4 linked regions of the Mus musculus genome follow. The main gene of each other region encodes a partner of the protein of the gene in region 4 in a complex. Links are inferred from orthologs where the notes say so. Each region holds a gene or a part of one and is shown on either strand. Other genes may lie near its edges.

Region 1 (7,555 bases), on a different chromosome or scaffold from region 4:
CAGAGGTCATTTTACCCGTCGGTGCTGTCATGTAGAGGGTCACCATAGTTGCCGCAAGCACACCTCTACCACGGGGTTCACTGTCCACTGTTGTACCAGGGCCAGTTTTCTGGTCTTGCTGTGCTGTCTTCACAGTTGGAGGTTCAGATACCGTACTGTGTTAGCTACTGCCTCAGTCCATATGGCTATGCTCCATAACTTATTCTTACTTCAGGAGGTCCTGAGGAGAAGGCTGGGAATTGGGGGTGTGGCTCAGTGGTAGAGCATTTGCCTGATGTGCAAGGTGCTGGGATCGATCCCTGGTGACACCAAAGTAATAAAAAAGAAAACCACTTAGCTTCCGTGGGGCTAAGTTTATCCCAGGGACATAGGCTGCCTGGGTGAATATGTGCAGAACAGCCTGAAGCAAGGCTGCCCACACCTGTACGGTGACTGCTGTATGTGTGGGCTGCCATCTCTGTTTAGTGGACGCCAGAAGATCCCGTGGCAGAGGCAGCTGTGTAGTCAGTCCTGCTGTGGAGAAGGCGATGCCCCTCATGCTAGTGTGAGAAGGCCTGCTGTTCCAGGAATTCCTTGGCGGCATACCTAAGCTTTCTGCCTGGGACCCAGTTCTGTCTGGCATCAGTTAATCTCTCATTTTAGTCACAGGCATAGCTCTTCTTTTTCAAGGAAGGAGGAACAAGCCAGTGTTTAATTATTACCTGATTATTGCCACAAGGGACATGGGACACAGCTTTCTAATGTGTAGGTTCCTTGATTTGAGAAAATGTATTCTATAGTGTTATGGTGTTTTTGTAATATACCATGAGCCAGCAACTAGTGGGCAGCCTGGAGCGTTGGGCTCTGGTTTCAGCTCTGTGGTGCCGACTGTCACAGTCAGTGTTCAGTTCCCAGGCTACGCAGCGGCCTTCTGTAATTGTGCTGAAATTGCATTGGCTACAGGAAGTCCAGGAGCTCACGTGAATGTTGCTTATTTTATCAACATTTTCATTTCATTGTCAGTGTGGTTGATTTGGGGGTTTTCTATGAATAGAAACTTTATTAATAACATCCCCCACTGAAGAATCAGATCTCAAATTGCTCTGCTTTTATTAAAACAAGTTGAGATTTTTAAGATAAACATATCTTGATTTCAGATATTAACATCTTCCTGTAAAGGCCAAATGGTTTGTAGTCCTGAGTTCACATAGCTCTGGCAACTGGGTTTGCCTAAGCAGGAGGACCCATAGATGGGATAGGCCTGGCTGCAGCACCTGGAGGAAAGTTCTTCCTCCTCCTCCCCCACCCCCAAGGGACAGTTCTTGCTCTCATTCTTGTGTTAACAGGTGACAGTGTATGTCCAGGGAGCATGCCCCCACTCAGTTACTATATTCTAGTCGGGGCCTACCTGGTAGCTTTTTAAGTCTGTTTTGTTTTGTTTTTTCTTTTGGTGAAATTGTGATACATGTACTAGCTTCTCATACAGTACTACATAGCAGCTGATACCTGTACAGAGTGTGGGTCTCTCAGCCCCATGTCTGCCCAGGAGCACACGCTGGGCTCCTGTCCCTGGAGCCGTGTGGTTAGGGCCTTCTGTCTCAGTGGCCTTGCCCATCTCATGCTCTCTGCTCTTGCTTTTGTGCCTGGCAGCTTCCTTCCCATCCTCTCACTCCATCCAGCAAACACGCGGACAGCAAGCCCGTGGCACTGACGCCTGCGTACCACACACTCCCCCACCCCTCTCACCATGGCACCCCACACACCACCATCAGCTGGGGACCCCTGGAGCCTCCGAAGACCCCCAAGCCTTGGAGCCTGAGTTGCCTGCGGCCTGCACCTCCCCTCCGGCCCTCAGCTGCTCTCTGCTACAAGGAGGTGAGGTCCTGCAGCCACTCAGACAGCCACTGCAGTGAGCATGCCTTGACATCTCTATGTGAGGTCTGCACTTAGCTACAGCAGTCCTTCCGGTGACTTCAGAAGTGAAAGTCTTGTGTTTCTGTTCATGGTGTGAAGACATGCCCCACCTCATGGCATCTTCAGAACCAAGAAGAGGGTCTGCCCTTACTCCATGTCATCCCCTTCTGCTACAAGGGCCAGGTGTCACCTTTAAACAAACTGGAGTGAGCATGCACCCCTCCAGTCCTCTGTGCACTGTGCCCACACTTGAAGGAGTGGTGCCCAGGAGGCACCGAGCCTGAGGTGCTCCTGAGCGAACGTGCAGGCCGAGGGCCTCACCTGACTGCATGCCATTCTGCTGTGCCTAAGATCTGTCCCAGAGTCCTGAAGCCTTTGGAAGTAAAGAGCAGGTTCCCTAGTGAAAGCGGTTGGTCCCTGAAGGCAGTGCCTCCTTGCACTGAGGGGAGGTGCAGCAGCCTTCCTCAGTGCTCCTGTTCTCCCTGCATGTGAGTGCAGCCACCATGCACTTGATCTTCACTAAGTCTCATGCGCTCACCTAACCCTGCTTTCACCTGAGGAGGCTCAGCACTGCTGAGTGTGACAAGCCAGGTTTGCAGTAGGTGTCAGCCTGACCACGGCGACTCACACTGAGCGAGACACACTGAGAAGAGTGAGAGGGGCAGGCCCCCTGGGTGGATGCTCCTGTGTTTCAGTGGTTTGTCGAGTCCACAGTACAGTGTTGTTGGAACTGATTTCTGCTCAAGATTCTCTGTAGCACATTAAGTTTGACCAGCATGGACCACAGGAGAGAGCTTTCAAACAATGAAGTCTAGCATACGTTGATCATATTCTTTCTCCTGCCCCAACACCTCCAAGATCCTTTCCACCTCCCTACCTACCCATCTTCATCTTCTTTCTCTCTCACACTCTCAAACCAAAAAAGGAAAGTCAGAACAAACAAAAATAAATAAGACAAACAAAACCCAAGCATACATTTAAAAACAAGACAAAATATAGAGTCTGTTTTGTGTTGGCATGGTGGCATATGCCTTTAATTCCACTGTCCCAGATACAAAGACAGGAGGATCTCTAAGAGTTAGCCATGGAAGAGATAGCTATGAAGTCTGCTCTGCCATAGAAGTGCCTCGCTCGCCCCTTTGTAACAGCAGCTGCGGGGAGGGAGGCAGGTGCCTGCGCCTACTGCATCCAGCGTTCTGTGTCATACTCCAGTTTTACCTTAAAGGAAAGAGGCTGAGATGGTGGCTGGCCACCATCCATTTCTACTTTGCTGGGAGCTGGGATATGGGCCTCACAGAGTAGCCAGCAAGTCCCGTCTCTAGGAGTCTGTGCTTAGCCATGGGTTCCCTGCCTGCCCCCTCTGCTTTAACTTTGGGATTTTGTACTTTGCTGTTTCCCTTCCCTCTCTACCCTAGAATGGACAGCCCTGTCCTGACTCTGTGGAGCATGTGAGTCGGTCTGTCCTTCCTTTGCTCGGCACACGCCTTACTGCCATGTACACTGTGGGGTCTGGGTTTGTTAACAAAGGGGTTTTCGTCAGAGCTGAGGCCTGTAGGTGAGGGAAGATGGAACGTCCTCTTGGCTCTTGGCCTGTGTTTATGTTGGCATTGGCAGAGAAACATGGACAAACTGGTGATGGGGGTGAGAGGTGCTTGGTGGTGGCCGGCTGGTGTCATACAGTCTGTTAGTATGTTTATTATCGGTGTTTCCCTAGGATCTCAGTAAGAGCCCCAAGACCATGAAAAAGCTGCTGCCGAAGCGCAAGCCCGAGCGGAAGCCTTCGGACGAGGAGTTCGCTGTGCGCAAGAGTGAGTGCCCATGTGTGGGAGCATGGCACGTCGTGGGCTGCGGGAGTGCAGGGGAAGCAGGGCCCGCACCTCCACAAGCAGCTGGCTGAGTGGAGAGGGCAGTCTCTGCATCGGCTGCTCCTCCAGCCTCACTCCAGCCCACCTCTCCGAGGGGTTGTGGTTTCCTGGTGCCTTTCCTCCACCCAGCAGATCTATAATTTGAATTAGACCCAGATTCCTCTCATTCACACAGGGCTTGTCTGTTAGGAGAAGTGAAGGCTGGGCTTAGGAGTGCCTGGTGGCCCGATTGAATAAGCATTTACCATGTATCTTCCACGTGACTGACACGATGGGTGCTGGGACCCGAATGTTAGTCAGACCTTCAGTCCTGGCAGACATTTCATGCTGTGTTGTGCCCAGCTGTGAGACCAAGTCTGCAGCACTGGTCCTTGGGTGGATCTCCCCGGGAGCCAGGCATCTGTGTAAAAGCATCTCGCTTGTGCCTGGATCACTGGTGCTGTTGCTGAGAAGGGGTGCTGTGCAGCAGCCTGCTCACCTGCTCAGGGTTAGCACTGACAGCAGCAGCACCCCCTCCTGGGCACGGGTGGGCACTTGCTGAGGGGGTCTCAGCTGTCTGATTGGTGCAGGGTGGGCCTGCATTAGGGAGACATAGCCTGGAGGCAGGGTGAGTGGTAGTAGAGCTGTGGTTGTGATGCGAAAGCTGTGTGTGCTCAGCTCACAAGAGAGGCAGTCTAGTATTGCATCCTTACCCAGAAGACCCAGCGGGTTAGGGATGAGAGGATATGGCAGACCAAGGACAAGGGTTGAAGAGAAGGGTTGTGTTGCTGATCCCCACTCAACATGTGAGCCAGACAGATGCTCAGCAAGCCTTACTCACCTCTCAAGCTTCTGGAATGTACTGGTTAGCTTGGAAGGCTAGGACGCTCTGTGTCCATGGGTAGTCCACATCTGCAGCTGTGAGGAGAGCGACTGGCATAGCTGTGGACACAGCGAGCCTGCAGTTTGCTGCTGGCTTCAGTGGCTCTCTGCCCCTGTGTGGAATGCATGTGCTCACCCAGGCGTGAGCAGAGCAGCTGGTGACAGCAGCCAGCCAGCACCCTGAGGGAAGGATCTGCTGCTGCCCAGAGGGAATGAAACCTTTCCTGTAGTCTCCTGCAGCCTCTGAAGAGGCCAGGAGCTGCGGGAGCTGGCCTCATGACTTGTTGCAGGTGGTGAGCTGGGTGCTCTCAGGACTGCCGTCCTCTGTCTTGAAGTAAATACTTGGTTTGCCTTATATACATTTTACTTTCTGAAAATATTGCTGAGAACTGGACATGGTGGTGCATGCCTTTAGTCCTAGCACTCCAGAGAATGAGGCAGACATCTCCGTAAGATAAGAGGCCAGCCTGGCCACATAGCAAGTTCTAGAAATATCAAGGCTACACAGTGTGGCCTTGTGTGAAATAAACAAACCTATAAAAGTTACGGAGGCATAGTTATTTACAGCTGTGAGAGTATCAGCCTTCTGGTCTCCCATGGTTGGAGAGTAGTGAACTTAAAAAAGAAAAGAAAAAATACAGCTAAGTAACTTAGAACCAGAGAGAAAAATATAAAAAAACAAGTAGCTTTCTTCCACATGCCACCCTTTTCTGAGCACGGGCTAAGGGGCTGTGATTGGTCCCACTGCCTGACAGCTCCTTCTGGCCTCTGCCTGGAGATGAAACCTGTACCCAGGTGGCTAGGCTATATTTAAGGCAGAGCTTTGCAGCACTTCTGTTCTTGGCATGGTAAATTTGTTACATTAGTGTCTAAGAATTCTAGGGTCAGAGACAGTGCCCCTTTAAGGCCTGTGATCTGGTGCCTTTCCAGAAGTTTCACGTTATGGCTCTGCAGCTCTCCTACCCACACTGTGTCAAGGCCCAGCCGATGACACTTGGGGTGCTTAGCTCTGAGTCTCACTTCCTGTTCTCATGAGACTTGAGGTCTTTTGGCTACTCCTGTCTCCTGTAGGCCACATATTCCAGTCTTGTGCTGTCTGTCTGGTGTGTGTGAGTGGAGAGACTGAGGGACATAGGACTTTACAGAGCTGTGATGAGAATTTCAAACCTTATACTCTCTTAAGTGTAGCTATTTATAACTATTTAGAGAGCCTAAATGTTAGCTCACAAGAAAGTGACGGGTGGCATCTGAACTGCGCTGTGTAGCTCTGGGCTGTGTGCTGAGTGGTGATGGCTCATGTATTTCAACAGGCACAGCGGCGCTGGAAGAAGACGCTCAGATCCTGAAGGTTATCGAAGCTTATTGCACAAGTGCAAAGACGCGCCAGACCCTGAACTCAAGTGAGTGTCGCAGTTCACCCCGTGTGGGCACAGATTACAAGCAATTGCTGCACGGACTAGCTGCTCTTGAGAGGGAGGTTTCAGGCGCTTAGCAAGTAGTGTAGCAGTGTCCCACAGTACTGTGTTCTAGGGAGCATCCAGTGTGAGGGCCAGCATCCTTCAGGAAACTTGGACTGTGCAGCTGCATGCAGAAGGCAGTGGAAGTTTCTTAAATTTTGCTCCTTTTTTTGGTGTTACTGGGGTTTTTTTTTTTTTTTCTCCTTTTAAAAATTATCTAAAATTCAAATCTAGAGCCATCTTTCTATCACCTTTAAATTTTATTTTGTTTTTAGTATTTGTTAATAAACAATGGTAGTTTCTTTGGTGGACACCAGGTAGTTTCTCTAAACTCCTCACAGGTGAGAGTCTGCATGGTGGTAGCATCCAGGAGCACTGCCTGACTCAGAGGCCTCTGCCTTTGACCTGCAGGCAGGGGCCTGCGGTCCTCCCTCTGTTTGTTTTGGAGCTGGCTGGTTGGCATAGAAACTGGTTGCCGTTGGATCTTCTACCTTGTTCCCTTCTCCACCCCAGTTTTTGGAAAGACACCTCCACATTTTAACAGCACCTTCAGTGTGGCGGCTCAGATCACACCTTGCCAATCGGACAGGAGAAGTGGGAGGGACTTTTCAGCCATTTGAGCTTTGATTGAGGAGCCTGCAGCTTAGCCAGCAGGTTTGGCAGGCGCAGCCCCGGTAGCGTTTACAGGCAGAGAGGGGCCTCCTCTTCCACTTGCAGCTTTGCACTGCCTTCTGCTCATGGTGTCAAGGTCTTGCTGAGGTTCAGTGAGGTCTCTTTTTGTCCTTACCATCTCTAAGGGAAAACCGGTTATAGCTGCTGAGAGGAGTAGGAGAGACGTGGGGAAGGAAGCCTGGGCACCCTAGCAAGCTGTGGGATATATAATTGTGATGCTGAAGAGTGACTCATGAATGTAATTTTGATGATTAAACGTGATGTATTCTGATAGGTTGTAACCATAGCCAGCACTTTCATAGATTTTAGATGTGTGGTTTTAATTAGTCACCTCACTTCAAGTGCTTAAAGGGAAATGAGAGTCCCCAGCTTATAGTCCCAGGTGACCTTGGCTGCTCTGTGAACTCCCGCATGTGACAGTCCATACTTCCCTCTGGGTGAGGAACTGTGCCTGGGGTGAGCTGCGGCTGCCTGAGGAGGGCAGCCTGTGGTTTGTGCAGAGCCTTTGTTGCACTGCTCCGGACTCCATTCCTTCCACGCAGAAAGCATGGTCAGTGTGCCGACTGGTGCACTCAGTTGATGTTCTGTTTCCCAGCCAGCATCCTGGGGCCTCAGCTTACAGCCATACGTGGCTTCCTCTTAGCTCTCTGAGAAATGGGATAGATGCACAGTTTGTGCTGCACAGGTGATACGGTTGGTGAGCGCATTTGGGAACGGGCTCCTAGGGAGCACATTTCCACATTAAATGCCTAGCAGAACGTTTTGAGAATGCTAATATATCGTTACCTCAAGCTTCTCTCTGTTCAC
Region 2 (7,555 bases), on a different chromosome or scaffold from region 4:
TCCCTTTGACCATGTGATCTCTGCCCCTAACATGATCACAGGATGGACACCTTAAGCCACATGTGCTCGAGCATGCGCACCTTCCAATATCAATATGGGTATGCACGGAGAGGCTCCACAAGAAAAATCCTCTCTGTTCAGGCTAGTAAAAAGTAAAAAACCCCAAAGTACAAAACCTCTGCTTGCTCTCAATAGTGAAATGCCCTTCTCTTTTAATCTCCTGGTTGCACTTTTTGGCTTTGTATTCACCAAAAGGTGAACTCATTTTGTTTGTTTACCAAAGGAACATACTTTAAGAAAGCCAGGCTTGGGCTGGAGAGATGGCTCAGTAGTTAAGAGCACTGACTGCTCTTCCAGAGGTCCTGAGTTCAATTCCAAGCTACCACATGGTGGCTCACAACCATCTGTAACGAGATCTGACACCCTCTTCTGGTGTGTCTGAAGACAGCTACAGTGTACTCATATAAATAAAATAAATCTTAAAAAAAAAAAAAGAAAAGAAAAAAGCCAGGGTCTGTCAAAACGTTATCATTTTTTGATAGTAGAAAACTCAGGTAGTACCCTGCAAGATACAGGGATAGAAAATGATTTTCCTAAGCAGGACTTCAATAATCAACAAGTGGGACCTAATAAACTAAAAAGCTTATTCACACCTAAGAAACAATCAAATCAGGAGGAAGCCCATAGTTAGGAAGAAATCTTTGCCAGCTATACATCTGATAGAGGATTAATATATAGAATACATAAAGAACTCAAAAATCAGAGTCAAAGAACACCAAAGGACCAATTCGTAAATGGGCTTGGGATATGAACAGAGTTCTCCAAAGAAGAAATAAAAATAACTAAGAAATAGCTCGAAAAAATTATCCCTTGTCCCTAGTGATTAGGGAAATACAAATTGAAGTAACTTTCAGATTTCATCTTACCCCAGTCAGAATGGCAAAAATCAATAAAATAATCAACAACAAATGTTACAGGGGTATAGGGAACCCCCATTCACTGTTGATGGGACTGCAAACTGCTTTGGAGAATCCTCAAAAAGCTAAGTCTACCACATGACACAGCTATATCGCGCTTAGGCGTATGCCCAAAGGACTTGACATCTACTCCACCGATCAGCCATGACTGCTGCTGCTCTGTTCACAATAGCTGGGAAATGAAACAACCTACATATCTGTCAAATGACTCGCGGATAATGAAATCATGGACCATATACATCATGGGGGACTGCTCAGCTGTAAAGAAAAATGAAATCATAAACTTTTCAGGCAGGTGGACAGAACTAGAAAAGATCATGTTGAGTGAGATGTCCCAAACCCAGAAAGACAAATGCCCCATGTTCTTTCTCATCTGTGGTCCCTAGCTCCAAGTCTTCAGATGTGAGCAAATAAACTAGACTAACCACAGAAACCAGAAGGTAAAAGGAACCATGGAGCATGGTGGGAATCAATATAGGTAAATATCTGGGTGCAACTGACTTGTAGAGGGAAAAGCAGGGGCACTTTTTTTTTTTTTTTTTTTTTTTTTTTTTTGCAACAGGGTTTCTCTGTGTACCTCTGGCTGTCCTGGTAATTAGGGAGGTGGAGGGAAGTTAATAAAGCAGGAGAGAAGAGGGTAAAATAAGAGTAAGAAAAAGTCATAAGGAATCAGTTATTATCTATCAGAATTACATATAAGACATGCAAGCCTATACATATATACACATATGCACACATACTATATATATGAAATTTCCCATCTGGGCTGACAATGCTCTCCCCAGAAGCCATACACTAGTAACAAAAGCCCCAGCACCAGGCATGAGACGTAGCCTTTTGAGCTGTGGGTTAGAGTTGTCGAAGAGACTCCCTATACCTGGCTATTGTCACTGCCTTGGATGCTTCCCAGAGGCTGAACGGAAGTCTCTGTTGCTGAACATACCATATACTTTGGACACAGACATGAGGGATCCAAGCTGGCTCTGATTTTAGAGCTTCCTCCATGAGGCCGAGCCTTCGTTGTAGCAGAAGATGCCATGCAAGCTTCCAAAGAAAGGAAGTACCCAGCTATGATGCCTATGAACCAAAACTAGCACCGCACAGTATCCCTAAGAGCATAGTGGTAAGCATATTTACTGGTAACCAAGAGTTCTTAACTGGACTTAAGGTTCACTCAACAAGAGGGAAATCAAGCTTAGCACTAGAAACCCAGCCAATTGCAAGGGACTATAAAGTCATGAACCTTGGAGGAGATCCACTATCTACCACTCTACTAAAGCGCCATGACCCCTAACTCCATTCTGAAAACATTTATGCTTATGACCACAGAAAAGTATAGTTCTCATTTCTCATCAAAGCAACTTCTCTTTGCAATAGACAGACCAATAAAGAAATCTGTAATTGATCAAAATGCAGAGAAGTGACAGTATTGTCTGTCACCCTGGACCAACCATACACCTACAACACAGCTCCTTCACCAAAGGCTTGAGAGTCATGGCAGAAGAGAAGACAGAAAGATTGTAAGATCCAGAAAGTAACAGAAAGTTTGCTGTGAGGTTTCCTCTCCTAGAAAGGTGAGAGAGGCTACACCCAGGAAGTCTCATCAACGTGGCTGCTTAAACAAGACCTAGACAAAGATGACACCAACAGACACACTAACATGGAAGTCAAAAATCTCATGGGACATCCACTCTAGACAAAGAACTACAGGCAAATAAGCAATGCTGAGAGCAGGAGAAATAGAACTCTTCCCCAGGGAGGAGCCCCCAGATTGGTTATCCAATCCCAAGAGGTCAGCCCTGAAATCAAGAAACACTTTATAGACTGAGCAGATTGTATTTACACATTTAGGAATATATATCTCAACAATTAGAGAAATGGAGGCCATGAACTTGAAAGAAAGCAAGGGGATGTAGAGGAAGGGTTAGAGAGAGAGAAGGGGAAATAGGAGGGAAATGATGTAATTATATTTTAATTTCAAAAAGCTAAGGTTTATTACTTTTGAACATTCAGTTTTTCAAGAGAAGCCGATGTTTTTATTTTAGTACTTTATATAAGGATTAATAGGCATGGCAGATCCTCAGGAAGAGGCCATGTCCTGTTCAACATGGGAGTACTAAAGTCCACCCTACAGAGCTCCTAGAAAACCCCACAGAATGGCAGCAAAGTCTACTGCTTCAGTGCGTAAGGAAGCTATACCATACGGAAGACGATGGCATGAACATAACTGTGCGCAGGGGACAAGAACTGGCAGCTCTGTTACCCGCTCCCATTTCCTTACTCCCCACTCACAATGAACACTCAGAACACAACATGACATTTTCGGATATAGTAGTACCCAGAAAGAACCGCAGGAGGCTGAGGCATGGGGCACCCTACCTTTATATCCCGGTGGACTATCTGATTGTCGTGAAGGTATTTTAATCCTTCCAGTATCTGCTTCGTATAGAAGCCAATCGTCTGTTCGTTGTCCTTTAATGGGCCCCATTTTGAACGAAGGAGAGCAGAGAGGCTTCCTATAAGATAAGAGAAACAGTGAGCAAAACTCATTCAAGCTCTTTAAAGCAAATACATAGCGTGACACTAAATGAAGCCAGAATGCACTGGCTCTTCACAGTAGGCCAGACTCTGCTGGTTGCCTGGGTTCAAATAGGAACATGTATGAAACATAGGAACATGTATGAAAATATCCCTATTCTGAAGGCAGCCAGTAATAGGATACTCAGTTGCTAGCTTCATTCAATCCATGCCACAGTGACTGAAACTAGACCGGTTTCAAAATGTCTGTACTGCCTGCTGAGTAGCGTCAAGTTCATGTCACCCATCTGACCATTGTCTCAACACAGACAAATCAAGATCTGGACTCTAACAAATTCCATTCAATCTAGCTCTTCTTCAGGCCTTAGAAATTCACACTTCTGAAGGTAAGACAGGCACCCCTTACCTCCTGGGACTTGCTCCATGAAGATTTTGATGAAGCCGTTCTCACTGAAGGAGCCCAGATACTGGACAATGTTTTTGTGTTTCAGATGCTTGTGCAGGGCGATTTCTTCATGCAGGGGCTGAGAGTATCTGGAAGACACGCAAATGTCAGTACGCTAAGCATCAGACAGACTTTAGAGTATTAACTTAAGCAACACTAAAAACACCAGCTAAACTGTGCCCACAAATAAAACCAATGACCGTCCAAGGCCTTTATTTCTCATAAATTCTATGACATTGCAGCTGCAGCAGGACTGAGGGGAAGTGTTGGATATTGTTCAAGCTCCTTGCATAGATCAACTCATTTCTTTTCACTAAACGTACTAGTTATGGGACACCATTTTACAGACAAGAGAAGTGATGAATAGAAGAATGACCAAAGATCACAAAGCTAGTGGCAGACTTAAGTCTTGACCTAGGAGATTAGATACTATTCACACCACTTTTTTAGCATGGCAGCCTGCTCCACTGGCTTCAGCATCGTAACCACTCCATCAGGGGACAAATATTCCTAATGTCTTAATCATGTTCAGTCACAACTTCCCGATGGTTCATCAACTCTTTAGTAAGAACGACAAAACCATTCATGTTCCAATTCCTTTCTCTCTGCTCATTCAAACCGCTCACCTTCTGAATCGACAAAGTCTATCACACTATGACTTTTCACCAGATCCTAAACAAACCTCTACACTGAAAGGCCAGCTGTATACCAGAGTTCACAATCATGTGCTTAGTGTATGCAACCGTAACAAAGTATCAACCTGTTTTATATTTCTGAACTAGCACAGTGTATCTGCTCATTAAAAGAGTCCTAGTAGAGCCAGGCATGGTGGCACACGCCTTTAATCCCAGGACTCGGGAGGCAGAGACAGGCAGATTTCTGAGTTCGAGGCCAGCCTGGTCTACAAAGTGAGTTCCAGGACAGCCAGGGCTATACAGAGAAACCCTGACTCGAAAAACCTTAAAAAAAAAAAAAAAAAAAGAGGCCTTGTAAAGCTGATATTCTGAAGACTAGCAAGATCAGTGAGCACTTATGCATCTATTGCATAGATTGTCAAATAATAAAATTTCAACAAATCAACTTTTAATGATTAATTGGCTTTCATTGGTGATTCATGACAGGATCTGGTCTAAACAGACAGGAGACAGGACAGGACAGAACGGCTCAGGCTTCATGTCATTTAAGCAAGAATGAGACAACAACACAGTGCAAAAAGCAACAGGCTGGCTTCAGGTTATTATTTTTGCATGTATCAAAGCAGGGAGAATGTTCTTATTTCAATGGTGTAGACTGGGTGGGCTCCTTTGGATGCTATAAATCTTGATTTATGGAAAGGTCAGACCTTATAAACAAACAGATTAGGTGTCCGTGATGTCAAACCTGAACATAAATCATTCCATTTTGGATTGATCTGTTGCAACCTAGAGTGGCAGTTCAAATCAACATTCTTCTATAAGCATTATTTAATAAGCTAAATATTCTGGAGTATCAGCAACTATAACTAACGATTCAATGCAAGTCCACACACACACACACACACACACACTCAACACACACACATACACTCACATACACACACCCCCAACATACTTTCTCTCTCTTCTCTCTCTCTCTCTCTCTCTCTCTCTCTTTCTCTCTCTCTCTCTCTCTCTCTCTCTATGTATGTCTTTCTCTCTCACAATAAGGCTATAGGTATGAAAAGCTCTAATTACACTAAGGCATATTATACACAAACATGATCTCTCACTCTTGCTTCAGACATACTCTTAAGGAATGTTCAGACTTCCAATGACAAATCCAACTAAAGAGATGGGAGCTTTTTAGAAGGACAATAACAAAGTGTAAAGTCAGTGTTAAATAATGGTGTTTTCCGGAAGCAGTGCAGGCTGAGTTCTCGTGCGAGCACTTACTTAATAAAGATCTAAATTCACTTAATTGACATCAACTTTTATAAGCTATATAATACTCCTCAGAGGTCTGGCAAGGGGAAAAGAAAATAAATTCCCCTATGTCTAAGACATAATATTCTTCTTTTATTTCCGCCTTTAGAACTGCTACAGGAATTAGGAGGCAGGCATCAGAGTGATCCTTTAATACTTTATCGGCGAGAGACAGCAAGAGCACTTTGAGACAGTATGAGTGGACACAAGAACTGCTTATATACATTAGTACCGATAAGACCCTTGTATCTTGGGTATTCTAAGTTTCTGGGCTAATATGCACTTATCAGTGAGTACATATCATTTGAGTTATTTTGTGATTGTGTTATCTCACTCAGGATGATGCCCTCCAGGTCCATCCATTTGCCTAGGAATTTCATAAATTCGTTCTTTTTAATAGCTGAGTAGTACTCCATTGTGTAGATGTACCACATTTTCTGTATCCATTCCTCTGTTGAGGGGCATCTGGGTTCTTTCCAGCTTCTGGATATTATAAATAAGGCTGCTATGAACATAGTGGAGCATGTTTCTTTCTTACTAGTTAGGGCATCTTCTGGGTATATGCCCAGGAGAGGTATGGCGGGATCCTCCGGTAGTACTATGTCCAATTTTCTGAGGAAACACCAGACTGATTTCCAGAGTGGTTGTACAAGCCTGCAATCCCACCAACAATGGAGAAGTGTTCCTCTTTCTCCACATCCTCGCCAGCATCTGCTGTCACCTGAATTTTTGAACTTAACCATTCTGACTGGTGTGAGGTGGAATCTCAGGGTTGTTTTGATTTGCATTTCCCTGATGATTAAGGATGCTGAACATTTTTTCAGGTGATTCTCAGCCATTCGGTATTGCTCAGGTGAGAATTCTTTGTTTAGCTCTGAGCCCCATTTTTTAATGGGGTTATTTGATTTTCTGAAGTCCACCTTCTTGAGTTCTTTATATATATTGGATATTAGTCCCCTATCCGATTTGGGATAGGTAAAGATCCTTTCCCAATCTGTTGGTGGTCTTTTTGTCTTATTGACAGTGTCTTTTGCCTTGCAGAAGCTTTGCAATTTTATGAGGTCCCATTTATCGATTCTTGATCTTACAGCACAAGCCATTGCTGTTCTATTCAGGATTTTTTCCCCTGTACCCATATCTTTGAGGCTTTTCCCTACTTTCTCCTCCATAAGTTTCAGTGTCTCTGGTTTTATGTGGAGTTCCTTAATCCACTTAGATTTGACCTTAGTACAAGGAGATAGGAATGGATCAATTCGCAATCTTATACATGATAACCGCCAGTTGTGCCAGCACCATTTGTTGAAAATGCTGTCTTTTTTCCACTGGATGTTTTTAGCTCCTTTGTCAAAGATCAAGTGACCATAGGTGTGTGGGTTCATCTCTGGGTCTTCAATTCTGTTCCATTGGTCTACTTGTCTGTCACTATACCAGTACCATGCAGTTTTGATCACAATTGCTCTGTAGTACAGCTTTAGGTCAGACATGGTGATTCCACCAGAGGTTCTTTTATCCTTGAGAAGAGTTTTTGCTATCCTAGGTTTTTTGTTATTCCAGATGAATTTGCAGATTGCCCTTTCTAATTCATTGAAGAATTGAGATGGAATTTTGATGGGGATTGCATTGAATCTGTAGATTGCTTTTGGCAAGATAGCCAT
Region 3 (7,555 bases), on a different chromosome or scaffold from region 4:
CAGGGTTATCGCACATCAGAAGACAGGATCCCAAACACTGACAGATGCGGGACAAACCGCTGGGGACGCAAGGCACTCACTCATCCAGCAGGTACGGCTGAAGTGCTCTCAGTGAGTTCATTTCCAGCTCAGGAAAACCTGACCCTAAAAACCAAGCACTAGATGCGTGGGGTCAGCCAGCCTTAGCCTCCCCTCACTGGTAACCCTGGGCAGAGCAGAGCTCAGCTCTTCTCTCATCAGGTTGCAGATTAATAGGGTCGACCTAGAACCTCTGCAGCAGGAAGCATGGCAGCTCTCAGCTCCCAGGAATCACTGGGGCTCCCAGCCTGTGCAGGTCGGGAGGGCCTTTAAGAGGTCAGCTGCTCCACTCCCAAGCACAGGGCTTTCCACAGAGAGGAGGGGCAGTCCCAGGTCACCCAGGTAGGGGTCATGACTAGAACAACAGTATTAGGTCAAGATCCAGTTACCTGTAGGAAAACAAGCCAGGACACAGATGAAGAAAGGCAAGTCAGGCTTAAAATAGCTAAATAAATCTTTAATATTTCTAATTGCAAATGTACAGAAATTGCACAGCCACACGGAGTCTTCGAACACCAACAACTTCTCTGTACATTATTACAGGGTTAAAAGTCTCGACTGGAGGGAAGGGCTCCGGCCGATCCAACCTTTGCATTTTTCCTTTTCACATACTTACAAAAGGGGGAGCTGGGCACAGTGGGGGATCGGGTAGCCTTGTGGCCGAGTATATAGAAAAGAGGGGCTGGTTCCCTGGACAGTCTGGCTCCCAGACCTATGAGTATGAGGGAGGAGTGTCCCTCGGGCAGGTGCTGGGGTACACGTTGAGCTCTGGCCCTGGTCCCCACCCCTACTCCTGGGCAGTCAGAGGTCTTCACTCAGAGGAAGTTTGGCAGTTTCCTTCACCCTAACACACAAGTTGAACAAAAAGGTCAGGTGTCTGTGTTGGCAAGGGTGGGGCCGCTCTCTCCATCAGATCTTGGGTGTCAGTGGCCAGGGTCTTCCCAGAGCAGGGCCTCTGGCAACTCCAGCCCTTGCTGTAAGCAGAGCTCAGACGCCCCAAGCCGTTGCTGTGGGCAGGAGGATGCTTTACTGGCCCCACTGGGGCATTTGCCCCCATCAACCTTCCACCCAAACAGCATGCTTGAAAGCCAACGAATCAATGCCCCGGGCAGGAAACAGACAGACAGACACCTAGACTGCAAAGCTCTTTGTCCTGCCCAGCACCGTTCTCCAGGCTCTAATATCAACCGTGAGAGCAGTGTCCTGGCCAGCCCTCGCAGCACCAGGACTAAAGGACTATGTACATCCCTTGGGTGAAATAGTTCCATTACAGTCAAACACCAAGAACATTTACAAAAAAAAAATTTACAAAAAAAATATTGCAGACTTGCAATTAAGATAAAAATCTGTGGAGAGTCTGTACACTTTTACAGTTTTTGCACTAGGTAAATAAGGCTCTCGGCCTGAGAGCTAACAACCCCACCAGAGGGGGCCATTGCATCTGGCCCTGCGCTCTCCTGTCCAGGCCTGGGGACCTCCCCATATTGCTAGGAGGCGCTCAGACAGAGGTCACTTTACGAGGCATGGGCGAGAGTGTGGGTGAGGAGGAAAACAGGGCTCCCTGGGCAGTGGAAGGGCAAGACCCAGGCCAGGCCAGGCCAGGCCAGGCCCTGCCCAAGAGGCCACCCCTGCTGAAATGCATGGGAGCAGGGGTGTGGACAGGAGTGGGGCAGGAAGAGGCAGTGGCAGGCCCTCAGCCCCACCTCCTTCCTTCCTGAGGTCTCTGACCCTTGATAGCCACGCCCTCTCCCAGCATTGGTCTGCAGCCTAACTGGGTTCTTTTACCCTTGCCTGTCCATCGTGGACTGAGGACAGGGCGCAGCCTAGCTAGGCCACACCTCAGGATGTCCACGCTTTCTAGTGAGGACTCTAGGAGCATTAAGTGCAGCTTGCCTAGCCCCATTCTGCTGCCTGGGCAAAGCCTAGCTCCTGCCCTAGGTGACTCAGAACCAGGGCTTGGAATCTAGAGTGTGGGAACAGATGGGGACCCAAGAAAGACCCAAGCTCCTGCCCTTCTCTGTCCCACAAAGGGGGGGGGGGGAGGGACAGATATGCTACAGAACAGCCTAGAGCTGGGGAAAACCAGCCCCAGCTGTGGGGGATGCCCCTCCCTGCCTGCAGTGCCTGGGTCCTTGGCTGGGGCTGGGAGGGTGAGGAGAGGCGACTGCACACGGGGCCTGGTGCAGGCTGCTGCTGTCTTGGAGAGGGAGCAAGTCTAACATCCTCCAGGGCCGCTATTTCCCATGCAGTGCGCTCGCTCAATTTAAAAGGCCCCTGTGTTCCAGCAAGCGAGCAAGCGGGCTTTTGTTTCTAATGCATACTGTGAAAGGAAAAAAAATCACAGTTATCCACCTTCTCAGGGCCGGCAGGCTTTAGAATTCTTTCTTAAACTATCAGAGAAGAGAGATCACCTTTGCAGGGTGAGCACTGGCTGGCCTCTCCCCACAGGGCCACTGTGCAGGCCACACTGGGACCCTGGAGAAGGCAGCTACAACGCATGGTGCAACCTGGCCACCTCTGCCCAGCTCTCTGGCTTCTGGAGTTCCAAGAGCATGAGCCAGGCCCGCATGTGAAGTGTGGGAAGCTATGGCTCCTCCCACGGGTATGAGGGCCCAGCAGAGAAAGTGCAGTGCTGTCTGTTTGGCAATGCAAGGAAGGAAGGGAAGGAGGGTGGAGGGTGTCACGTCTGGGATGGGCATAGGACCGAGGTTCTGTTCTTCAGTTCCTCACCCCCTGGAAGGGTCCCTGACCAGCTGCATGCAGTGGCAGGGGCTCAGGGCAGAGATGAACAGGGGCCACTCTGCCTGTCAACTACTCCATCAGGTCCTGGGGGCCATGGGAAACCCACAGCAGTGGCCCCTAAACCTTCCTTGAGCCCTTTGCAGGTAGCTTCCTCCATGGGAAAGGGTAAGGAGGGGTACATGCACCTGGCTGCTCAGAGAGAAGGTGCCACATACCAAACTCAACAACCAGAGACACATTCGGCAGGCCTCCCTGCAGACTGGCCCCACTCCCCAGTGCAGTCTCCGCTGCCTCTACCCACACCCACTGTTCAGGTGGGCAAAGAGAAGGGGGGCCACTGTGCCCTCAGTCTCACGCTCCATCAGTCTTACGCCCCCTCCACTGCAGGCTAGCCTGCAACTGTGGGAGTCTCCTGACGGAGACCCTGTCCCGGGCCACCACAGTCCCCCTCTCCTCAGGCAGGTTAACAATTGCTGCTGTTTCTGAACTCGCCGTTCTCAGTAATCTGCAATTTGGTGGGGTTGGTGGGGGAGACGCCGTTACGGGCTTGCATGCTGTACCTCTCTTTCAGCTGTGTGAGGGCACTCATGAGGCGGGCATTGGCAGCATCCAGCGAGGCAATGCGCTTTTCCTGTGGGCAAAGAGGGCATTAGTGATGCTTGAGGTGGGCTCTAGCCAGCAGTAGCCAGCAGAGAGCACCACGACAGGCCAGAGAAGTGTGTTAGGCCCAAGCTGTGGAGTAGCTGGGCAGGTTCTGTGCTATCACAGACTGGGGCCTTATAATTTGCCTCCTACCTATACAAAGCTAAAGCGGAGCTATAGCACCTGAGCTCGAAGGCAGAGCCTTTCCTCTCACACTGTCACACACCCAGAGCTCCTTCCTAGGCTATGTAGCTTACACTCTAACCAAACCTGCCAATTCTTGGGGCATTCAGAGAAAGGGACACAGCTGTGAGTGAAGGGGCTTGGGGACCAGAGCCCTTCTGCCTAGCCTTCTTTCACCTTCCTAGTCCTGCCTACTCCACTTCCATAAGTCCCTGGTTAGCATCCTCAGAGCCCAGAGACCTTGGTTCCTGGTCCATGGTTTTTACACTGAGGTGTAACCAAGGATACCAGAGAAGCTAGTTACACTCGAACTACCCCAAACTCTGTAACACTGTAGCCAGAGCCCCAACCTGGGCATCGATGATCTTCTGTTTGGAATCTACAGCTGCTTGCATCTCTGCATGATCCTTCTTCAGTTCTTCTTCCACTGACATCAACCTGTGAACAGAAATGCAGAGTCAGGAGCACTAGGAGGAGGAAGTATACTGTGGGGCCTGTGGGAAACCATCCTATCTAGAACTGTCCCCCAAGCAGTGGCATGGCTGGGCTACCCTGTCTTGACCTCAACTCTCCCTCTGCAACTCTGCTCTCTGGGGCTATTTCCATTCCAGTGCACTTCTAAGACCCAAGGAATGTCATGTTATAGGATCTGTGGCAGAGGATATGGTGAAGGCTCTAGAGAAGGCTCTAGACCCCCTTCTATCATGTTTCCTGAGGTGGTATGGACTTTGTGAAGGCACAAGGTTCAGGGGCTCACTACACCAGGAACTTCACACTAGGTTGTAACTACAGCCTGCACAGCAGCTGTAGTGGGGTGCTGGTATCAAAGTGATGAGGGAGTTCAGGAAGGACAAGGTGGAGGACCTACAGGAGCTCCAGGCAAAGGTGGACCCTACCAATTCACCCCAAATCTCTGTAGGAATCCTAATTCTTCCAAATTCTACCTGGGAGCATCCCACAGGCTAGATGTGGGGGGAAAATGGGCCATAGGGGGCCATGAAGAATTCTGGGAAGGCAGCTACACTGTGGAATGGCCAGATGAGACCAAGTCTGAGGCCTTCAGGTCCCACCCTAGTGAAGCTCCAACGTGCCTGGCATCCCACCAGAGCTGCCAAGGATGCAGAGATATAAGGAAATAAAATCTACAACCAGGAGACAAATCAGTGAGAACAGCTGAGATGTCAGATGGGAAGTAGGTGACGCTGTGAGGCAGCAACTGAAGGGACATTCTACATGCCCAAGAGACAGTCTTAACCATGAGGAAAGTAGAAGAGGTTTAAACCACAGTGAAACTCTAGAGACTTGAAGGAGCAAGGGCTGACTGCAGGCACCGGCACCGCAGAAACGTTGGTATGCCATTCAGATCACATGTGAACCAGGCCTAGGCACAGGCCTGTAACCCTAGCTAGCTATCTGGGAAATTGATGCAGGAGGATGACAGCAAGTTCAAGACCTTTTGGGTTGTAGGCAAGTTCAGGGAGAGCTTGGAAAATTTACTAACAGACTGTCTCAAGTACAAAGGTTGGGGTGTAACTCAGTGACAGACAACTGTCTAGCTTGCCCAAGGCCCTGGGTTCAATCCTCACCCAGGAATATAAAAATGTATATAAAGTAAAACTCAGAGAACAATGGAAAAAGAAAACAACTGTGGGGGCTGAAGAGATAGCACCATGGTTGTGAATACCTTTTGTTCTCACAAAGGACCTGAGTTCAGTTCCTGGCACACACATGGCAGCTCAAGCGCCTCTAACTCCAGCTCAGGAGATCCGAGACAGACCTGCATGCAGGCAAATCACCCATCCATATAAAATAAAATAAAAGGGAGAAAGAGAAGGAAGAAGAAAACAATGAAGGAACAGCGAAATGGGAGACAGTACAGAGGAGCCCACTGTACCTGAGGGCAGGCAACGGGAGCCCTAGAGGAAGAAGTAGGAAGCAGAGCCATCCACCTACAGATCTCAGCCCAGCAAACCCAAGAGAACCACAGCAGGTGAGACTGTTGACAACATTTAATGAAAGGAACACTGTGAAGAGGCTTAGAGACTTGAGATTAATCTCCAGAACCCACGGTGGAGGGAAGCCTCCTGGATGATGTCCTCTGACCTACAGCCCCCCAGACACCTACATAACTATACAACCACACACACACACACACACACACACACACACACACACACACACACGAAACTGTCCTCTGACCTACACCCCCCCAGACACCTACATAACTATACAACCATACACACATGCACACACACATACATGAAGCTGTCCTATGGCTACACTCTCCCCCACCCCTACATAACTATACAACCACACACACACACACACACACACACACACACGAAGCTGTCCTCTCCTCTGACCTACATCCCCCCAGACACCTACATAACTATACAACCCCCACACATGAAATTGTCCTCTGACCTACACCCCCACAGACACCTACATAACTATACAACCATACACACACACACGAAGCTGTCCTATGGACTATTTACACATGCCTACACACCTAGCCCTACACACACATACATATATGCCCCAGTAGTAGATAACATTAAAAAAATTTCAATGTTATGGATCCAACCAAGGGTCTGTGCACGCCAGGCAAGCATTCCAACAATGAGCAAAGCTCTAGCCCAGGAGAGGTACCTTAAAAACAGCGAGAGAAAAAGGAGACTGTAAAACAAAAAACAAAACAACAAAAAACAAAGACAGGGCAATGTTCTTGCCACTGCAGCCAGGGAGGGGTCACATCAAGCCACCGCCTCCTCTGTAAGCCCTGACATCACCCAGCTCTGCTGTGAGAGCAGGTGAAAAGGAGCAGCAAGATCATGTGGCCTGCACAGCCCGGCACGGTTCCCACCTGCCCACTGAGGAAGACTGTTGACTAACACCCAAAGCACTGGGGCCACACAGCATGGAAGCCAACAGAGATGCTGAGGACTAAGATACAGTCCAAGGAACGCAAGAAGGAAGGAAGGAAGGAAGAAAGAAAGAAAGAAAGGAAGGAAGGAAGGAAGGAAGGAAGGAAGGAAGGAAGGAAGGAAGGAAGGAAGGTGCTAATGCTACATATAAACAGGAAAATAGCTTTAAGATTAACAGGCTTAAAATAATCACATTAAAAGTAAATGGCTTAAACGCTCCAATTAAAAGGCAGAAGTTGTTAGACAATAAACAGACCTAACAATAGGAACCTGTAAAATAAACTTTGTGCACAACGATGGGTACTATGGTCTGAAAGTTGGTGTCCACACTCAAATACATGTACACTGAAACTTAACCTCTACGGTGCTACCAGTTGTCCTCTGGGAAGTGATGGGTTACAAGATATTTCTGCCTTCAAGAGCACGGTTAGTGCCCTTACCAAAGGAGCTGGAAGGAGCTCGTCTCTAAGGACATGGCACCAAGGTATATCTATGAAGGAGAGCTACACTAAATCTATTGACACCCTGATCTTAGACATGGCAACCTTCAGAATGGTGAACAGTACATTTCTCTTGTTTATAATCACCTGGTGCTGATATTTTATCATAGAAGTAGAAATGGATCAAACAATGGTTTAAAAGTATATAGGACAGAAAATGATACACTGTGCTATCACCAGAGAAAGAGTATCTACACTAGAAATAAGATGGAGGAAAGAGTGTAATTAAAAAGGACAGTTTGTTAATGGTACATGATAATCCTAAAAGAACACCCACCCAGGACTAGAAAGTATCAATGAAACAAAACCAACAGAAATAACCCTGGAGAATCATGATCAGATAGCTCAGTACGGCTATCTCAGAAGCCGACACAATAACGCAAGCACGCAGGCAAAGGAGCAGCAAGGACATGTTAGACCCAACTGTCCTGATGATGTTCACATCCCCGGACACAGGGAAGAGGTGATGGCCAGGCACCAGGG
Region 4 (7,555 bases):
GTCAAATTCAGTGTGTCTCAAACAATACAGACGTCCTTCCCCAAAATAAAGATTGTCTACTAAAGTCACTTCCATGGGTCTCCTTTCCTAGACGTAGAAATATATTGTTAAAATACTTCTGATTAAAGAAAATTATAAGACAAAATCAGCATCCAGTTTTTAAATTAATTAATTAAAATTTAACTTGTGTGTGTATTTGAGGTGGAGGGTTAAGTGCACATGTATGTGGATGCCCAAGGAGACCAAAGGCATAGGATCCCCTCAAGTGAAGGAAGAGGCAGTTTGTCCACTGCCCAGGATGGCCACTGAGGCTTCTCTTCATTCTCCTTTACCCCCACCCTGCCTCATGGAATTTTAAATGCGCAGTTAGGAGTCAGAAGAAGATTTGGTTATATAGCTGGCTTTGCCTCTTTACATAGGGCAAGTCTGTTTATTTCTGGAGGCCTTACTTCCTTTGTCTTAAAATAACGAGGTTAAATCATTGTTAGTCTTGTGTATTATAAGTCTCTTTCTTCTGTGCCCACTACTTCAACAGTGTCTACAAGCTTTGGAGTTTCTACATTCAAACCAAGTCATTCACAGGGACATCAAGAGTGACAATATTCTGCTGGGAATGGATGGCTCTGTCAAGTTAAGTAAGTAGGAGTCTTAGGAGTGGTAACACTTAACTCTGCACATGGGGCTAAATCTCTTTTGGGATGGTAATTAAATAATAGTAACTATAACAGTCATTAAATAGACTTAAGTATTTTGTAAAATATGAGATATATTTCTCTGTATTATATTGTGTCTTACAGTGTCTTTTCACTATTTTTTCAATTCTTTTACACATTATAACACTTCCCTCCTGAAGGCCTACTTCTGAGGTTCTCTGATAGGCGCTGAGGGTACATTTTACCAGCTTTCAAGAAGCTTTCTGTCTAGTATGAGAGACTTGTAATGAATTAGAAAAACGGATTTATGTAACTTTACTTATTCTGTTATTTATTCAGCAAATGTTTTACATGCCAGTCTCTTCTGGGGTACAGAGAAGATAGTCTTCACTATCGGCTCTATCAATTTAGATAAATGTGTAGCTTCAATATAGTGTGAATGAACTACAGGTAGTTTTTTGTACAAAGGAGTGAAAGCAGTTGCCGAGACAGAGGCTATGCCATAAGTGGGTAAACAGTTTATGAGAGGACTATTGGTGCAGGGTGAGGACTTGTTAAAAGTAGGGCCATACTTACGTGTTGGTGGTTGGGTTTTAATTCTGAGACTTTTGTCCAGAGGATAATGGAATGAGTTAATTATAAGACTCTGAGTTATAGGAATGTTTTTTAACCATTTGGTTTGAGGAAAAGGCAGGAGGCTAGAGATATTGTTCTTAATATTTCTCCTACTGTTCATGGTTGAATGAGCAGTGGACTAGTAGCAGTGAGGTGTGTCCTGCTTTGGTGAGACAGAGATTGCAGACAAAGCCTGCTGCCCATGTGTAAGGACACAGCACTTACTGATGGAGTATCCTAAGTGTGTCTTTCTTCTCCCCCTTTCTAGCTGACTTTGGATTCTGTGCACAGATAACTCCAGAGCAGAGCAAAAGGAGCACCATGGTGGGAACTCCATATTGGATGGCACCTGAAGTTGTGACACGCAAGGCCTATGGACCCAAGGTTGACATCTGGTCCCTGGGCATTATGGCAATTGAAATGATTGAGGGGGAGCCCCCATACCTCAATGAAAACCCTTTGAGAGTAAGTGTTCTCATCTTCTTGCAAAGTATTTGGGCAACTGACTCTAATCCTAGGAAATTGTACTCAGGCTCTTCTCTCTGTATACCCGGGCATAGTTATACATTCTTGTACTCCTAGACTTACAAGACTGGGATAAGAAGATTGCCAGTTTTTGAGACAAACTTGTCTCAAAAGCAAAAATATGGACCTGGTAAGATGACTCAGTGAGTTAAGGCTCTTCCTGCCAAGCCTGATGACTTGAGTTTAATCCAGGGACATACATGGTGAAAAGAGAACCAATTATCACAACCTGCCCTTTGATTCCCATATGAGATATATGGTACACATGTGCCCACACTAAATACATGTGTATACACTAAATAAATAAGTATATATAACATGCATTCAACAGATACTGTTGAATTTAAAATATAAATGAGCCGGGTGTGGTGGCGCATGCCTTTAATCCCAGCACTTGGGAGGCAGAGGCAGGCGGATTTCTGAGTTCGAGGCCAGCCTGGTCTACAAAGTGAGTTCCAGGACAGCCAAGGCTATACAGAGAAACCCTGTCTCGAAAAACCAAACCAAAAAAAAAAAAAAAATTGTTCTGATAATACCAAGTGATTCTAGAGTAGCAGATGGTAACTGCTATGGAGAAAAAAAATGTAGAATAAGAGCAATTGACAGAGTGATAGGGAAGGCTTTATTTAGAGGAACGTTTTCTTTTATTAGTTATTTCAGCAGAAACATGAAGGAGTTAAAGGAGTAAGCCATGAGATTTAGTTTCATGCAAGTGTTTACAGGTATCAAGAATCCCATTTGGTTTTTGCCTGGAAAAATCATCGGAGGCTATTATTTCCCAAAAAGGAGAGAGGAGAAAGTAGACTGGTAGCCAGAGTCAGCAATAAGAAAGGGCCAGCCACTAAGTCTTGTGGGCCAGTGTGAGAACTTGGCTTTTATTTTGCATCATTAGAAAGGATTTTCAGCTAGATAATAAGAGGATCCAGTCTGTACTTGAAATGAATGAATGGTTAGGCTGCTTCTTTAGGAAATAGACAATGAGAGACTAACAGGATAGTTCAGACAAGAGTGGTTGCTTGGGTCAGAATACAGGTGAGAAGTAGACTTGGGAAGAGCTGCCAGGATGCCCTGAATAGTAAAGAAGTGGAATCAGCAGTCACCACGGCACGCAGTGCTGACAAGTTCAGTTGTCCTTTGTTACTTCTCTGTTTGGTCTGCTGTGATGAAAGTACTGGGACCGAGGCAAGTTACAGGAGAAAGGAATGTATGCTTATGTTTCCAAGGGGATAAGAGTTCATGATAATAAGGAAGTGGCAAGTATGTTAGCAGGAACTGGATGCTGAGAGCTTCTATCTTGAAATACATGTGAGCCAGAGAACAAACTGGAAGTAGGGCAAACAAAACCGAGAGCTCTGAAACTCTGCCTCCAGCAAGGCCTTCATGGCCAGTTAGTAGATTGATGGGAACACATGCCTAACTTGAGTAAAACCCATAAGAGCAGAAAAGGAGAAAACTGAGATGGCATTTACAAGTGTTTTCTCCTCTTACATGAGTTTTGTTACGAAGGGTGACAGGGAAATGGAGCAGTCTCTCTCTTTCTTTGTTTTTGTTTTTGTGTTTTGTTTTTCTTCAAAACAGGGTTTCTGTATAGCCCTGGCTGTCCTGGAGCTCTCTCTGTAGACCAGGCTGGCCTCGAACTCAGAAATCCGTCTGCCTCTGCCTCCCAAGTGCTGGGATTAAAGACGTGCACCACCACTGCCCAGCAGTCTCTTGTAGAGTTGAAAAGGGTCAGCTAAAGGCTGTGTGTTAGCTAGTGGAAGGGAATTGGTGGTAATGGGAGAAGAAATAGAGTATACAATAAAGATGCAAGGAAGGCGGTGACTTCGATTGTGGACAAATAGGAATAGGAAGTTACTTTGTTTTTACTTTCTCACTTAGTTCATCTTCCTATCTAGTGCAGGAATTCCCCTGTAAGAATATCTACGCTTAACTACATGCTCAGATCACCCTTGGATAGTTCCAGTTGCTGGAAAGTGCTTCATTGTCTCAAAAGGAAACTTTCTTCTCTAGTTTCGACTTTATTGTCCCAGCTTTGCTCTCTCACTCCACATGTAACACAACCTCCTCTGCCTCAGATATGAAGGTAATCAGTGTGGTGTGGTGGAAATAAAACTGAATTAGAGTCAGCACGTGCACTCAGAACAGTGAATGCAACGGCTGGAGAGCCTTACATGTGAAATGGGAATAACCATTTTGCCCCACCTCTGAGTTACTGTGGTCACTTAAAATGAGTGTAGCTGGGTGTGGTAGTGCACACCTTTAATCCCAGCACTAGAAGTCAGAGGCAGGCAAATCTCCTATGTTCAAGGCCAGCGAGGGCTATACAGAGAAACCCTGTCCTGAAAAACAAAGCAAACAAACAAGAGTGAGAGATGGGGAGAGAGAGCGAGAGCGAGCTTTGTAATTAAAGAGCTTAGTGTTTATGAAGGTTTACTATTACTGTTTTTCTTCTCCCAAGAGCTGCTTCATATTAGAGCAGGGAAGCAGCAGCGAAACCGTTGCTGTCTCGCCAAGCATGGCTTTTTCCTCTTGGGTGGAAGCCTCAGCAGCACATTTCTGCCAACAACTAAACAAAGGGACGTTTACCTTGCCGTGCTAAGTGAAGAATAAACCCTTAGGTTTGTAACACCTCATACGTTTACAAAGTGCTTTCCAAATGCACGCTAAAGACATTTTTGTGGCTATATAAAGCATTATATAGCAAAGAAGTTATATGTTAGGTGCATATATACAGTCATATGACTGTGAATGTCAAGCCTGATTAGGTTAGTATGTTCTCTTCAGGACATCCCCGCTGATCAGAGCTGTGTGTCAGAGCACACAGAAGCTGGCTGTATTTTAGAGAACGTGTCTCGATAGTAACAGAAAGAACCTCAGGGAGAGCACCACGTGACTCTTCATTTGTATTGCTAGGCCTTGTACCTCATTGCTACCAATGGGACGCCAGAGCTTCAGAACCCAGAGAAGTTGTCAGCTATTTTCCGGGACTTCCTGAACCGCTGTCTTGAGATGGATGTGGAGAAGAGAGGCTCAGCTAAAGAGCTGCTGCAGGTAACTGTCCTTCTGCAGGGAGGTGCCTACCCAAACCTTTTCATCTCATTTTTGTCTGCGTTTGCTGATTTTAGGCTTCTTTCCTACCATTTCACTTTGTATTTCTAGCTCCCTGTCACTCTTGGGCTTTGCCAAGTCTGCCCTCTGTTCCTCACCCTATATCCCCCTCCCCCAAGTCCCTGGTCTCCAAGAGGATGTCCCCGTCCCCACCCCACCAGACCTCCCCACTCACTGGGGCCTCAAATCTCTTGAGGGTTAGGTGCATCTTCTCTGACTGAGTCTAGACCCTGCAGTCCTCTGCTGTATATGTGTCTGGGGCCTCATATCACCTGCTGTATGCTTCCTGGTTGGTGGCTCAGTGTGTGAGAGCTCTCTGTGGGTCCAGGTTAATAGATACTGCTGGTCTTCCTATTGGGGGTCGCCCTTCTCAGCTTCTTTCAGTTATTTCCTAATTCAACCACAAGGGTTCTCAGCTTCTGTCCATTGATTGGGCATAAATATCCGAATCTGACTCAGCTGCTTGGTGTGCCTCTTGGAGGGCAGTCATGATAGGCTTCTGTTTGTAAGCACACCATAGCATCAGTAATACTGTAATCAGGCCTTGGAGCCTCCTCTTGAGCTGGATCCCAAATTGGGCCTGTCGCTGGACCTCCTTTCCCTCAGGCTCTTCTCCATTTTTGTCCCTGCTGTTCTTTCAGACAGGAACAATTCTGGGTCAGAATTTTTGACTGTGGGATAGCAACACCATCCCTCCACTTGATGTCCTGTCTTTCTACTGGGAGTAGATTCTACTAGTTCCCTCTTCCCACTGTAGGGCATTTCATCTGAAGTTCCATCCTTTGAGTCCTAAGAGTCTCTCTCACCTCCCAGGTCTCTGGTGCATTCTAGAGGGTACCCCCCACCTCCTACCTCCTGGGATTGCCTGTTTACATTCTTTCTGCTGGCCCTCAGGGCTTTAGTCCTGTCTCCCCCCACCCCCAATACCCGATCATGTTTCCCCTTTTCCCTCCTTGTCCCTTTTTCCACCCAGGTTCCTCCCCTCCCTCTGTGTCGCCCCACCCCCACCCCCTGTGATTGCTTTCTTCTTCTCCCAAGTAGGATTGAGGCATCCTCACTTGGGCCCTTCCCCTTGTTAACCTCCTTGAGTTCGGTGGATTGTATCCTGGTATTCTGTACTTTTTTGGCAAATATCCACTTATTAGTGAGTACATACCATGCATGTCCTTTTGGGTCTGAGTTACTTCACTCAGGATGATATTTTCTCATTCTGTCCATTTGCCTGCAAAACTCATGATGTCCTTCTTAATACTTAATTGCTGAGTAGTATTCCATTGTGAAAATGAACCACATTTTCTGTGTCTCTTCTTCCATTGTGGATCATCTGGGTTGTTTCCAGCTTCTGGCTATCACAAATAAGGCCACTATGAACATGTGCTCCTGTGGCATGGTGGGACATCTTTTGGGTATATGACCAAGAGTGGTATAACTGGGTCTTCAAGTAGATCTATTTCCAATTTTCTGAGGAACCTCCTGATTGATTTCCAGAGTAGTTGTACCAGTTATCCCACCAGCAATGGAGGAGTGTTCCTCTTTCTCAACATCCTCGCCAACATGTGCTGTTATCTGAGTTTTTTATCTTAGCCATTCTGATTGGTGTAAGGTGGAATCTCAGGGTTGTTTTGATTTGCATTTCCCTAATCACTAAGGATTTTGAACATTTCTTTAAGTGTTTCTCGGCCATTCGAGATTCCTCTGTTGTGAATTCTCTGTTTAGCTCTATACCCCATTTTTTGATTGGGTTGTTTGGTTTTTTGGAGATAGCTTCTTGAGTTCTTTATATATTTTGGATATTAGCCCTCTATTGGATGTGGGGTTAATGAAGATTTTTCCCAATCTCCTTAACTTGTCAGTGTTATCTGGTAAACGTTCAAATCCTAGACTTTTCAGAAACTTTAATCATGAAGTTTCATATCTGCTTCTCCTGTGAGAACATATGGATAGAAAGATATAGGAAGAGATATTGGAATTCATATATTTAAGCTTTATCCATGATCATCCATAGTTCTCAGTTCCTCTGTGTATCCTCACTCTGTCCCAATGAAACTTGAATCAACTTTCAGCAAAGAGTGTCTCTGTATATATCTCCATGTGAGTGTCTGTACACATACATAATAATGCTAACTATAGGAATTATAAGAATGATAAAAGAATGAGATGTGTTAAGTAATTACAAACCTCACATTTGCTCAGACAAGGAAATTTAGCTCTGATCTTTATTATCAAATGGAAGAAAGAATCTATATCTTCAAGATAAATGTAAAAAACAAAAATCAAACCCCCAAAACAATCCACCAGTTTAAGTAAGAGACTCTGAGTTACATAAAAAATTATTTCCTATAACATTTTCATATGATATTTTTCTCTTAAATAATTTTTTAAATTGGAAGTATGGCTCAAAGTACATTACAATGTAACATTGTAAAGGACCTTAAAGTCCTTACTGGAATACTTCGCCTTGCTGGAGTCAAAGAGTGAACAAAAGATTCTTAGCCACATATGGTGCATGCTTATAGTTCCAGCTAACAGGTCGAGGGCTGGAGTTTAAGACGAAAGATAGGTGTCTTCTCCAGAAAGAATAGTTACTCTGTTGTTGCCAGAGGTGAATTTTACCCAGGAACAAACAAAACCATGTAAAATGAACTTCTTGTCTT

Evidence for each region. Proteins that work in one complex are often made in the same cells at the same time.
Region 1: the proteins of Pak1 (region 4) and Arhgef7 are in contact, whole or in part, in an NMR structure (PDB 1ZSG), measured with the Homo sapiens proteins. The link is inferred for Mus musculus from reciprocal best matches to the Homo sapiens genes PAK1 and ARHGEF7. Residues at the interface, in NP_001363202.1 of Homo sapiens: Thr185, Pro186, Pro188, Val189, Ile190, Ala191, Pro192, Arg193, Lys198, Arg203, Ser204; in NP_001106983.1 of Homo sapiens: Lys192, Phe193, Phe195, Thr198, Asp201, Glu202, Glu217, Gly220, Trp221, Trp232, Pro234, Ser235, Asn236, Tyr237.
Region 2: Pak1 (region 4) and Map3k5 share a complex: the UniProt entries of both Homo sapiens proteins name them as parts of the cytoplasmic complex. The link is inferred for Mus musculus from reciprocal best matches to the Homo sapiens genes PAK1 and MAP3K5.
Region 3: Pak1 (region 4) and Dab2ip share a complex: the UniProt entries of both Homo sapiens proteins name them as parts of the cytoplasmic complex. The link is inferred for Mus musculus from reciprocal best matches to the Homo sapiens genes PAK1 and DAB2IP.

Annotation. Positions count from the first base shown.
Region 1 is NC_000074.6:11,816,031-11,823,585, forward strand, and holds part of Arhgef7 (rho guanine nucleotide exchange factor 7), read left to right. Parts: intron 1-1,629; coding exon 1,630-1,854; intron 1,855-3,607; coding exon 3,608-3,701; intron 3,702-5,929; coding exon 5,930-6,019; intron 6,020-7,555. UniProt on the Homo sapiens protein: Acts as a RAC1 guanine nucleotide exchange factor (GEF) and can induce membrane ruffling. Functions in cell migration, attachment and cell spreading. Promotes targeting of RAC1 to focal adhesions. May function as a positive regulator of apoptosis.
Region 2 is NC_000076.6:20,095,999-20,103,553, reverse strand, and holds part of Map3k5 (mitogen-activated protein kinase kinase kinase 5), read right to left. Parts: intron 4,050-7,555; coding exon 3,922-4,049; intron 3,494-3,921; coding exon 3,357-3,493; intron 1-3,356. UniProt on the Homo sapiens protein: Serine/threonine kinase which acts as an essential component of the MAP kinase signal transduction pathway. Plays an important role in the cascades of cellular responses evoked by changes in the environment.
Region 3 is NC_000068.7:35,723,954-35,731,508, reverse strand, and holds the end of Dab2ip (disabled homolog 2-interacting protein), read right to left. Parts: intron 4,084-7,555; coding exon 3,996-4,083; intron 3,452-3,995; coding exon 3,284-3,451; 3' UTR 2,399-3,283; coding exon of another isoform or gene 2,389-2,398; 3' UTR 1,086-2,388; coding exon of another isoform or gene 923-1,085; 3' UTR 515-922; downstream 1-514. UniProt on the Homo sapiens protein: Functions as a scaffold protein implicated in the regulation of a large spectrum of both general and specialized signaling pathways.
Region 4 is NC_000073.6:97,903,102-97,910,656, forward strand, and holds part of Pak1 (serine/threonine-protein kinase PAK 1), read left to right. Parts: intron 1-535; coding exon 536-635; intron 636-1,536; coding exon 1,537-1,733; intron 1,734-4,706; coding exon 4,707-4,844; intron 4,845-7,555. UniProt on the Homo sapiens protein: Protein kinase involved in intracellular signaling pathways downstream of integrins and receptor-type kinases that plays an important role in cytoskeleton dynamics, in cell adhesion, migration, proliferation, apoptosis, mitosis, and in vesicle-mediated transport processes.